2 linked regions of the Oryctolagus cuniculus genome follow. The protein of the gene in region 1 purifies or fractionates together with the protein of each later gene. This does not show direct contact. Links are inferred from orthologs where the notes say so. Each region holds a gene or a part of one and is shown in the gene's direction. Other genes may lie near its edges.

Evidence for each region. The genes of interacting proteins can lie anywhere in the genome.
Region 2: the proteins of PTPN14 (region 1) and PDLIM7 purify together in Homo sapiens (affinity purification with mass spectrometry; 3 studies listed by BioGRID and IntAct, counting the BioPlex papers as one, with this or other methods). This does not show direct contact. The link is inferred for Oryctolagus cuniculus from reciprocal best matches to the Homo sapiens genes PTPN14 and PDLIM7.

What each region holds. Positions count from the first base shown.
Region 1 is NC_091444.1:28,665,286-28,668,932, reverse strand, and holds part of PTPN14 (tyrosine-protein phosphatase non-receptor type 14), read left to right. Parts: intron 1-1,635; coding exon 1,636-1,779; intron 1,780-3,254; coding exon 3,255-3,473; intron 3,474-3,647. UniProt on the Homo sapiens protein: Protein tyrosine phosphatase which may play a role in the regulation of lymphangiogenesis, cell-cell adhesion, cell-matrix adhesion, cell migration, cell growth and also regulates TGF-beta gene expression, thereby modulating epithelial-mesenchymal transition.
Region 2 is NC_091437.1:63,489,654-63,493,795, reverse strand, and holds the start of PDLIM7 (PDZ and LIM domain protein 7), read left to right. Parts: upstream 1-1,215; 5' UTR 1,216-1,369; intron 1,370-1,911; exon of another isoform or gene 1,912-2,179; intron 2,180-2,268; 5' UTR 2,269-2,279; coding exon 2,280-2,375; intron 2,376-4,142. UniProt on the Homo sapiens protein: May function as a scaffold on which the coordinated assembly of proteins can occur. May play a role as an adapter that, via its PDZ domain, localizes LIM-binding proteins to actin filaments of both skeletal muscle and nonmuscle tissues.

The sequences.
Region 1 (3,647 bases):
TCCCAAGAGAAATACCAGTTACTGACTTTTTGTTTTGGGCCCCCTTGGGGTCACCTTCTAGTGCAAGTGGGGAGAAAGTAGAAAGACCTTTGAGAGGCCCTTGGGACCCTTTTTCAGGAACAGTTGATCTCTCAAAACTTCGGAGAGGATTGATAACATTCCCAGCTAAATAAAAAGGGGTGATGAGAAAAAATCCTCTTGCAAAAAAAAAACAGACTAATAAGCTCACGAGGACTCACACATTTAAATCTAGACTCCTCCCCAAGCTGGTGCCTGAGATTGAGAAGCGGAGGCCATACTGAAGGGTGGGTGTTGCACCTTCTGGCTGAACGCCACCCAGGTACTCTTCCCTTCCCTGTGGTTCACTTCCTTCGGAGGTGAGCAGGTGGCATTGTGGTGACGCTGACACACATTCGAGATTATAGTGCAGTCCCCTGCACTCACCGAGCAATCTGCCCACCCTCTGGGCTCTGCTAGCACCTTGGCTCCATCAGGACACCTGGGGAATGCACTCACAGATGATAGAATCTAGAGAAAATGTCCCTGAAGGCTTGAAGAGAAATGATAAGATGACCCCTTCACTTGGGACAGTCACATGACTGCCATGGTCTGCTTCAGTTTGAATCAAAATCTTACACTCTGTAAAAACTAACATGCTTCTGTTCTTCCCTTAAACCAACTTATTTTAAGGAAATGCTCCTAATGAGCCTGAAATGAGTGCAGAGGGCTTGGTTCTCGGCTCAGTTTCTGCAGCAGTGCATGGCACATCCAGTGCCCCAGCTCATCCTGTTGAGTCCAGGTGTGGGTGGGGATGGAGTACCACAAGCCACTGCCAGACGAGAACGTGAAAACTCCTCCCTCAGTGGCCTGCTCAGCCCCCACATCCAGGTCACCCCCCATGGCCATGTCCAGGGTTATCCTCCTATAGTTCTTATGAGCCACTGAGTCTATTTCTTTGCATCTACTGGGTGAAGCAGGCAGGGTAATCCTGAATGGAACAGCTCAGATGACCCCAACCTGGCTCCAGTGTCTTTCTGGGGAAAACAGCCTTGGCTGCCTCAGGGTCCAGAGAGTACCTATGGGAGAGCATCCTGAGTTCCAGCTGCTGGGGTTGGAAACACAGGGAGACTTTGCTCTGCAGGGCGAGTCTGCAGCACACAGGAGATTTTACGCATTGGGTAACATTCCGTCTCCCGTCTGCAAAAGTCCACCATTGGGACTGGATTGATTGATTCATTTAACTGTTTCTCTTTTCTTTGTCCTGTCTTCTTTCAGCCCTTTTCTTATAAAATATAGTTCACATGATGTGTGTGTGTGTGTGTGTGTGTGTGTTCTCTCTCTAACCACACACACACACACACACACACACAACCATGGCAGGGTATTTCTGTAGAGACCTTCCAACTTTATTTATTTCCTAATGAGTGAATTAATTAGAAATAAAACCTCAGCAGTCCTGTAGGAACTGGCTTCCTCGGGCACCGTGGGAATAATGGGAAGGCTGGGTTTGAATTTTCCCACCTAATGGTGATTGCATTCCTTGGCTGGGGAGTTACAGATTTGGGGAGATTAAAATGCATTCCAACCTTCCGCTGGTATTCTAAACAATGAGGACATGCCTTTTCTTGCCGCAAGAATCTAGAAAAGCAGAAGAGAGCAGGCCTGGAAGTGCAGAAGAGGCCGCTGATGTTGGCCGCCTTGAATGGACTCTCGGTCGCTCGCGTCTCAGGTCGGGAAGAGAGCCGAGCTGATGGCACGCGCGTTCCCATGGACGAGCGGGTAAGTGTTGGGCCCCGCAGACATATGACTCATTGTCTGTGGGCTTAGAATCCCAAGGCCCCCTCCTTGCCTAAGCATGCCGGCCCTTAGGTTTGTCTGATAAATTTATTTTTGAATTTGAGTCCAGGGAGCTCTGGTCTGTGTCATTTTACATTGATCCTGTCTGAAATCTAATGTTTCTTTGTTCAAATCTTCCCACTTTCTCAAGCTGCCTAAAAAGACCAGCCCCATCACAGACTGTCTGGTATTGATTACGTCACTCAGTTTCTTTGGACCTGTTAATATTTTTGTAAAATGAGAAAGTTAAACAATTGCTGTGGCTCTCCATTTTTCTGATTTCTGTAAATGGTTACCACTTCCATTTCTTCAAAAGTGATTTTTTAGGGGGGCTGGTGCTGTGGTGCAGCAGGTTAGGCTGCCACCTACACTGCTGGCATCCTGTATGGGTGCCAGTTCAAGTCCCAGCTGCTCCCATTCTGATCCAGCTACCTGCTAATGTGCCTAGGCCAAGTGCTTGGACCCCTGCAGCCACATGGGAAACCAGGAAGAAGCTCCTGGCTTCTGGCTTCAGCTTGGCACAGCCCCAGCCTTTGCAGCCATTTGAGGAGTGAATCAGAGGATGGAAGATCTCTCCTTCTCTCCTCTCCATCTTCTCTCCATCTCTCCTTCTCTCTCTCTCTCTCTAACTCTGCCTTTCAAATAAAAAATAAAGTGATCATTTTATCTAAAACATTTATAGGATTCGTTTAATATGCCATCCTCCCATTTATATGGCTATAGAATGTGGCTGATTTATGATTGTTAGAATATATTGTGAGCACTTTGGTTTTGGAAAGCAAAAAGAGGGTGCATGGTAGAGTTTTTAGGGGTGAAGGGAGATGCTCCTTCAGTTCCTGTGATTGCTGTCAGAAGGCTAAGAGACAAGTGGTAGTAATTATTTCAGAAGATCACTTGTAACATCAGGACGTTAGAGTTCCACCAGTGTGCATCCAGTAGTAGAATGAAGGGACTTCAGTTAATACCACATTCTTGTATCTAGTAGTTTAGCCAGGGAGGGAAATAAAAAGAGGAGGGGATGTAATCCCCAGAGCTGTAGACTCTGGACCAGTACCGACATAACATTCAGCTCAGTGACAACACGCGACTGAGCGTGTAAGTAGAGAAAACGGTGTTTGGGTAATTAACAGTCTCCTTATCGTCAGGTCTTTACACAGAGGCATCAGCAGCAAAAATGCTGGCTTTGAATTTCCAGTCCTGCTGGTTGTCGATTTATTCTATTTTCCCTGTAAGTGAGACAGGAAATGACTGTCAGGCAACAGAAACCAGCAACATGGTTGATAATGAGACTGGGGATTTAGTCACATATTACCCTTCTTGAAGTCGCGTATCATCATTGTCACTGTAGACACGTGAAGAGAGCGGGTGGTTTGGAGTTTGGGATAATTTAGAGAGCCGAAGATTGATTTCTGTTGCAGTTCAGAACCCTGAAGAAGAAGCTGGAAGAGGGCATGGTGTTCACAGAATACGAGCAGATTCCAAAGAAGAAAGCGAACGGCGTGTTCAGCACGGCCACCCTGCCGGAGAACGCCGAGCGCAGCCGCATCCGCGAAGTCGTACCCTACGAGGAGAACCGCGTAGAGCTGATACCCACCAAAGAAAACAACACCGGTTACATTAATGCCTCCCATATCAAGGTAGGAAGCTTGTTCAGGGCCACGGGGTTAAAGGTAAGTGCAGGGAGAGACCTTGCAGGGGCGGGGCTGTGCCTCTTGGCTCTTCCAGGCCTGTCTGTAGTTGAGTGAGTGTGAGCTCCTCTGCCTTCCTTGGGCCTGGGAAGGGCCTGGTGATCTTGAAGAGAAGGAAGGCTA
Region 2 (4,142 bases), on another chromosome or scaffold:
CTGAAAGCAGCCAGAATGATCCGTGTAAAGGCCCTGAGGCCAGAACATCCTTGGCACATGGAGGAACAGTGAGGAGGCCACCTGGCTAGAGCAGAGTGAGCGAGCAATGGGCCCTGTTTACTACGGTTATATGAGTCTTCTTTATTTATTTGAAAGTCAGAGTTACACACAGAGAGAAGGAGAGGCAGAGAGAAAGAGAGAGAGAGAGGTCTTCCATCTGCTGGTCCACTCCCCAGATGACTGCAACGGCCAGAGCTGGGCCGACCCGAAGCCAGGAGCCAGGAGCCAGGAGCTTCTTCTGGGTCTCCCATGTGGGTGCAGGGGCCCAAGGACTTGGGCTATTGTCTACTGCTTTCCCAGGCCATAGCAGAGAGCTGGATCGGAAGTGGAGCAGCCAGGTCTGGAACCAGCGCCCATATCGGCTTTATCTGCTATGCCACAGCGTGGCCCCCAAGTTACATGAGTCTTAAGGCTTAGTTTTGAGCCTACTGGAATGCTAAAAGCTGAGTGTGAGTTCCCTTTAACAGTATCAGTTGAGCTGGTCCTTGGAGAAGGCCCCGGAGGGGACCAGGGTGAAAGCAGGGGCCCATTAGGAGACTGCTACAGGTCACCAGGAACAACCGGGGCCGCAGCGACCAGTGCGTGCCCCTCTAGGACTGGGGGCCGCGGAGGGGCGTGGGTTCAGGAGAGAATGTCTGTAAAGCGGAGGAGCGTGGGCGCCGGGCGCTCACCACGGTGCATGCGCTGCGCGTGGGGCCGGGCTCCGAGCTCCGGAGACCGGCGCGAGGCCGAGCCGAGGACGCCCTCCAGCTTCGTCCACTCAGGTTGTCCACGGCAAATGCAGCTGCACGGTCACTCCTCGTCCCTCTCATCCTTCCTCACCCCGACGCCCCCATACCGACCCTCTGGCAACCCCAATTGGGGAGCACTAGCGCCCCATTTTCCCGAGGACACGGCTAACGTCCAGTGGGGCCTGGCTTCGAAGGTCTCTCTCCCCTGCTGGCGGGAGGCGCAGGGGGCGGGGCGAGGCGTGGGCGGAGCAAAGTCCTCCCGACGCGGCGTCCCGCAGCCAGGCCCCGCCCAGGCCCTGCCCCGCTCAAGGAGAAGGGGCGGGCAGCGCCGTGTGCTCAGAGCCAGACGGGGCTTCGTGATTGGACAAGGCGGAAAGCTTGGGTGGGGCTCTCCCCCGGCAGAGCGACCGCCTGTGGGTGTGGACACGCGGAGGGCGTGGTCTCCCACTCCGCCCCCTTCCACAGGCTCAAAGCGGGCGGTGTCCGCGGGGGCGGGGCCAGAACGCGGTCTGCCGATCCGATTCCAGCGCGGCTCCTAGGAGCCCGCCGCGGAGCAGCGCCCCGGCGGGGCAGAGCAGGTACCGGCGGACGCGCGGGGCTCTTGGTCCGAACCAGGCGGGGGCCGGGGGCCTTCTGAAGACTACGGAGCGCACTGGGGGTCTTGGCCGGCGCTGGGCCTGCTCCTGCGGGTTCGGCCCCTGCCTCCGCCCCCGCCCCCGCCTTCCTGCGGCGAAGCCCGCTTGTGGCGGGGCCGGTTGGCGCCTGCGCCGCTGCATGGTGCCTGGGCTGGGGGCTGGAGGGAAACTGAGTCACGGCAGGGCGGGCACAGTCCTGTGCGGGAGGCACCAGCGTAGCTCCCCTTCCTGGCCACGTTTTGGGGTCCCCACTGCTCTCCGCTGGAGACTCGTCCCACTCCTGCCCCCAACCGCTCAGAGCGCCCAAGGGGTCCCGCCCCGGCTCCCAAAAGCCTCGACCTGCCCTGGAATGGCCAGGACGCGCTCCAGGCGCCTCGCGCCCGTACCCCTCCCCCTCGCGCGGAGCCCCCGTGGCTCCCTCCACTGCTCTCCGCGCAGTATCAGCTTACACGCCTTATATAGTCCGAGCAGGCTGCAGCCGCGGCCTGCCTGCCGGGACCTGGGGGCGGGGGAGCCGAGAGCCGGCCCCTGACTCACCCCGCTGCCCGAGGCTCCAGGCTGGCTTGGGGGGAAGCCGTGCCAAATTAGTCCCACCCGTGGATACCGAGAACTTTAAGCCTGGGAAAGGTTCACCCTCCCAGGCCCTGGGCGGGGGGCTGCCCTTGTCTGTTTTTTTTTTTTTTTTTGGAAGTGAGGTCTGCCAGCCAGCCTCACAGCCTAGCCTGGCCAGATACGTGCCCACCCGGGCCTGGGGTGCGCTCAGTGTCTGTCTTGCCTGCTTGGCACCTGTTCAAGGCTAGCGTCCGCAGCTGGGACGCTCACTTTCCCATTTCTCCTCTCAGGAGCCGACACCATGGACTCCTTCAAAGTACTGCTAGAGGGTCCAGCACCGTGGGGCTTCCGGCTGCAAGGGGGCAAGGACTTCAATGTGCCCCTCTCCATCTCCCGGGTAAGCCTGGTTGGGAGAGGGGCTCCGAATAGCGGCGGTGGGGTGGGAAGGTTGTCTTTGATTGCTCAGGTCTCCAGGGGGAATCTAAGCAGGAGGCCCAGGTGTCAGCAGGCCAGGAGGTGTCTGTCCAGGTCCAGAAAAGTGGTGGCTGCCTACTCCCAGGACCCCTGCCTAGGTAGACAGGGGAGTGGAGCCCCCAGACTCCCATATCTGTGCACTGTACCTGATGCCACTTCACCGAGCCTCTGCGGTCACCTCTGGGGGCCGAGCAGAAGGGAGAAGGCCCATTGGTGTGGGAGGGAGCTTGATGAATTCAGCAAGGATCTAAACTTGAGAACAGTGCTCGGGAGCCTGGCCCCAGGCAGAGCACCCTGTGGAATCTTACCACCGCCTCACTGCCACCTAGGGGATAGCAGCTGCCATCCTGTTTGTCCAAAGGAGGGAACTTGGAATGGTGGAGGGCTTGTCCACGGCAAAGCAGAGATTTGAAACTGGGCAAGGACAGCCTGCGGGTTTTACAGGTCCCCAAGTCAATGAGAGGACCTGTGTCTCCATCCAACTGGTCCTGGTTTAGGATGTAGTGGCCTTTGACCCTGAGCGAAGGTGTGGTGAGGCTAGGCTGTAGGGCTGGGACCCAAATTCCTGAGAGCCTGCCCTGGTGGGGCGGAGCTGGTGGCTGGCTCCTCCCCATGGCAGGGGGATTGCCTTATAAGCCCAAGAATGCAGCCCCAGGCTGGGATGGCCAACAGTGGCTGGAGTCTACCTAGCTGAAAAGGGCTGGCCTGTGCCTGGACCTCCGAGCCCCCTCCCCTGGTGGCCAGGCTGTGACTCCTGGGACCCAGAAAAGAAACCACCCGCCCAGAGCAGTGAGGCCAGCACTTGGGCCAGTCCCTCTCTCTCTCTCTCTCTCTGGCCTGGGGGTCAGGAGGGGGCGGGGACTTCCTGCCCCTACATCCGCCAGTGCAGGGAGGCCCACCCAGCCGCCTGGTGGGCAGACAGCTGTTGGCAGGAAGCCCAGGGCAAGCCCAGCCTGAGGGGCCTGAGTGTTGTCCAGGCACCAGGCAGTCTGAGAGAGGCCCAGGGCAGAGTCTGTTCGTGGCGGTTTGGCCTGGTGGCCGGGGCAGGCAGTGTTCTGCCCCCCGGTATCTTTCTGCAGAGTTTTGGGGCAGGCAGGTCCCTAACACACACACACACACACACACACACACACACACTCCACCCTGAAACCTACCCTGCATCCCCCTCCCTGGGAAAATGCCACCCCATGTGGCTGGGAGACTTGGTCGGACTGGTCTCCGCCTCACCTCTTTGCTGATGAGAGTGATCTTTCAGATGTGGCCTGCGGGGGGCACTGTGGGCCCAGGCTCCCCTGTCTGCCGCCCCAGCCCAGGGGTGGGACCAGCAGCTAAGCCCAGCCTTGGAGTTGGACCCAGGCCCTGGTGGTGGGTGGATGGAAGTGGTCTTTTTCAGCGTTGGGCCAGCCCCCTCCTCTTCTCCTGACCCCAGAATGAAGGGAGGCGGGAGGGGCGAGGGCTGGCTGTGGGCCCAGGCCTGGGAGATGAGGTAACGTCTGAGACTGGTGGGGGGAGGGGTTGGGCTGCCCAGTGGAGCCCTTGGGCTGACTCACGCCCCCCTCTCCTGTGTCCAGCCCCCTGGCTTTTCTCCTCCTTGTCTCTCTGGCCTTGCCCTGCCCCTGGCCTGAGCTGCTCCCTGCTTTTTTTTTTTTTTTTTTTTGCCAGCTGCCTTCCCCATCTCTTCTGCTTCCAC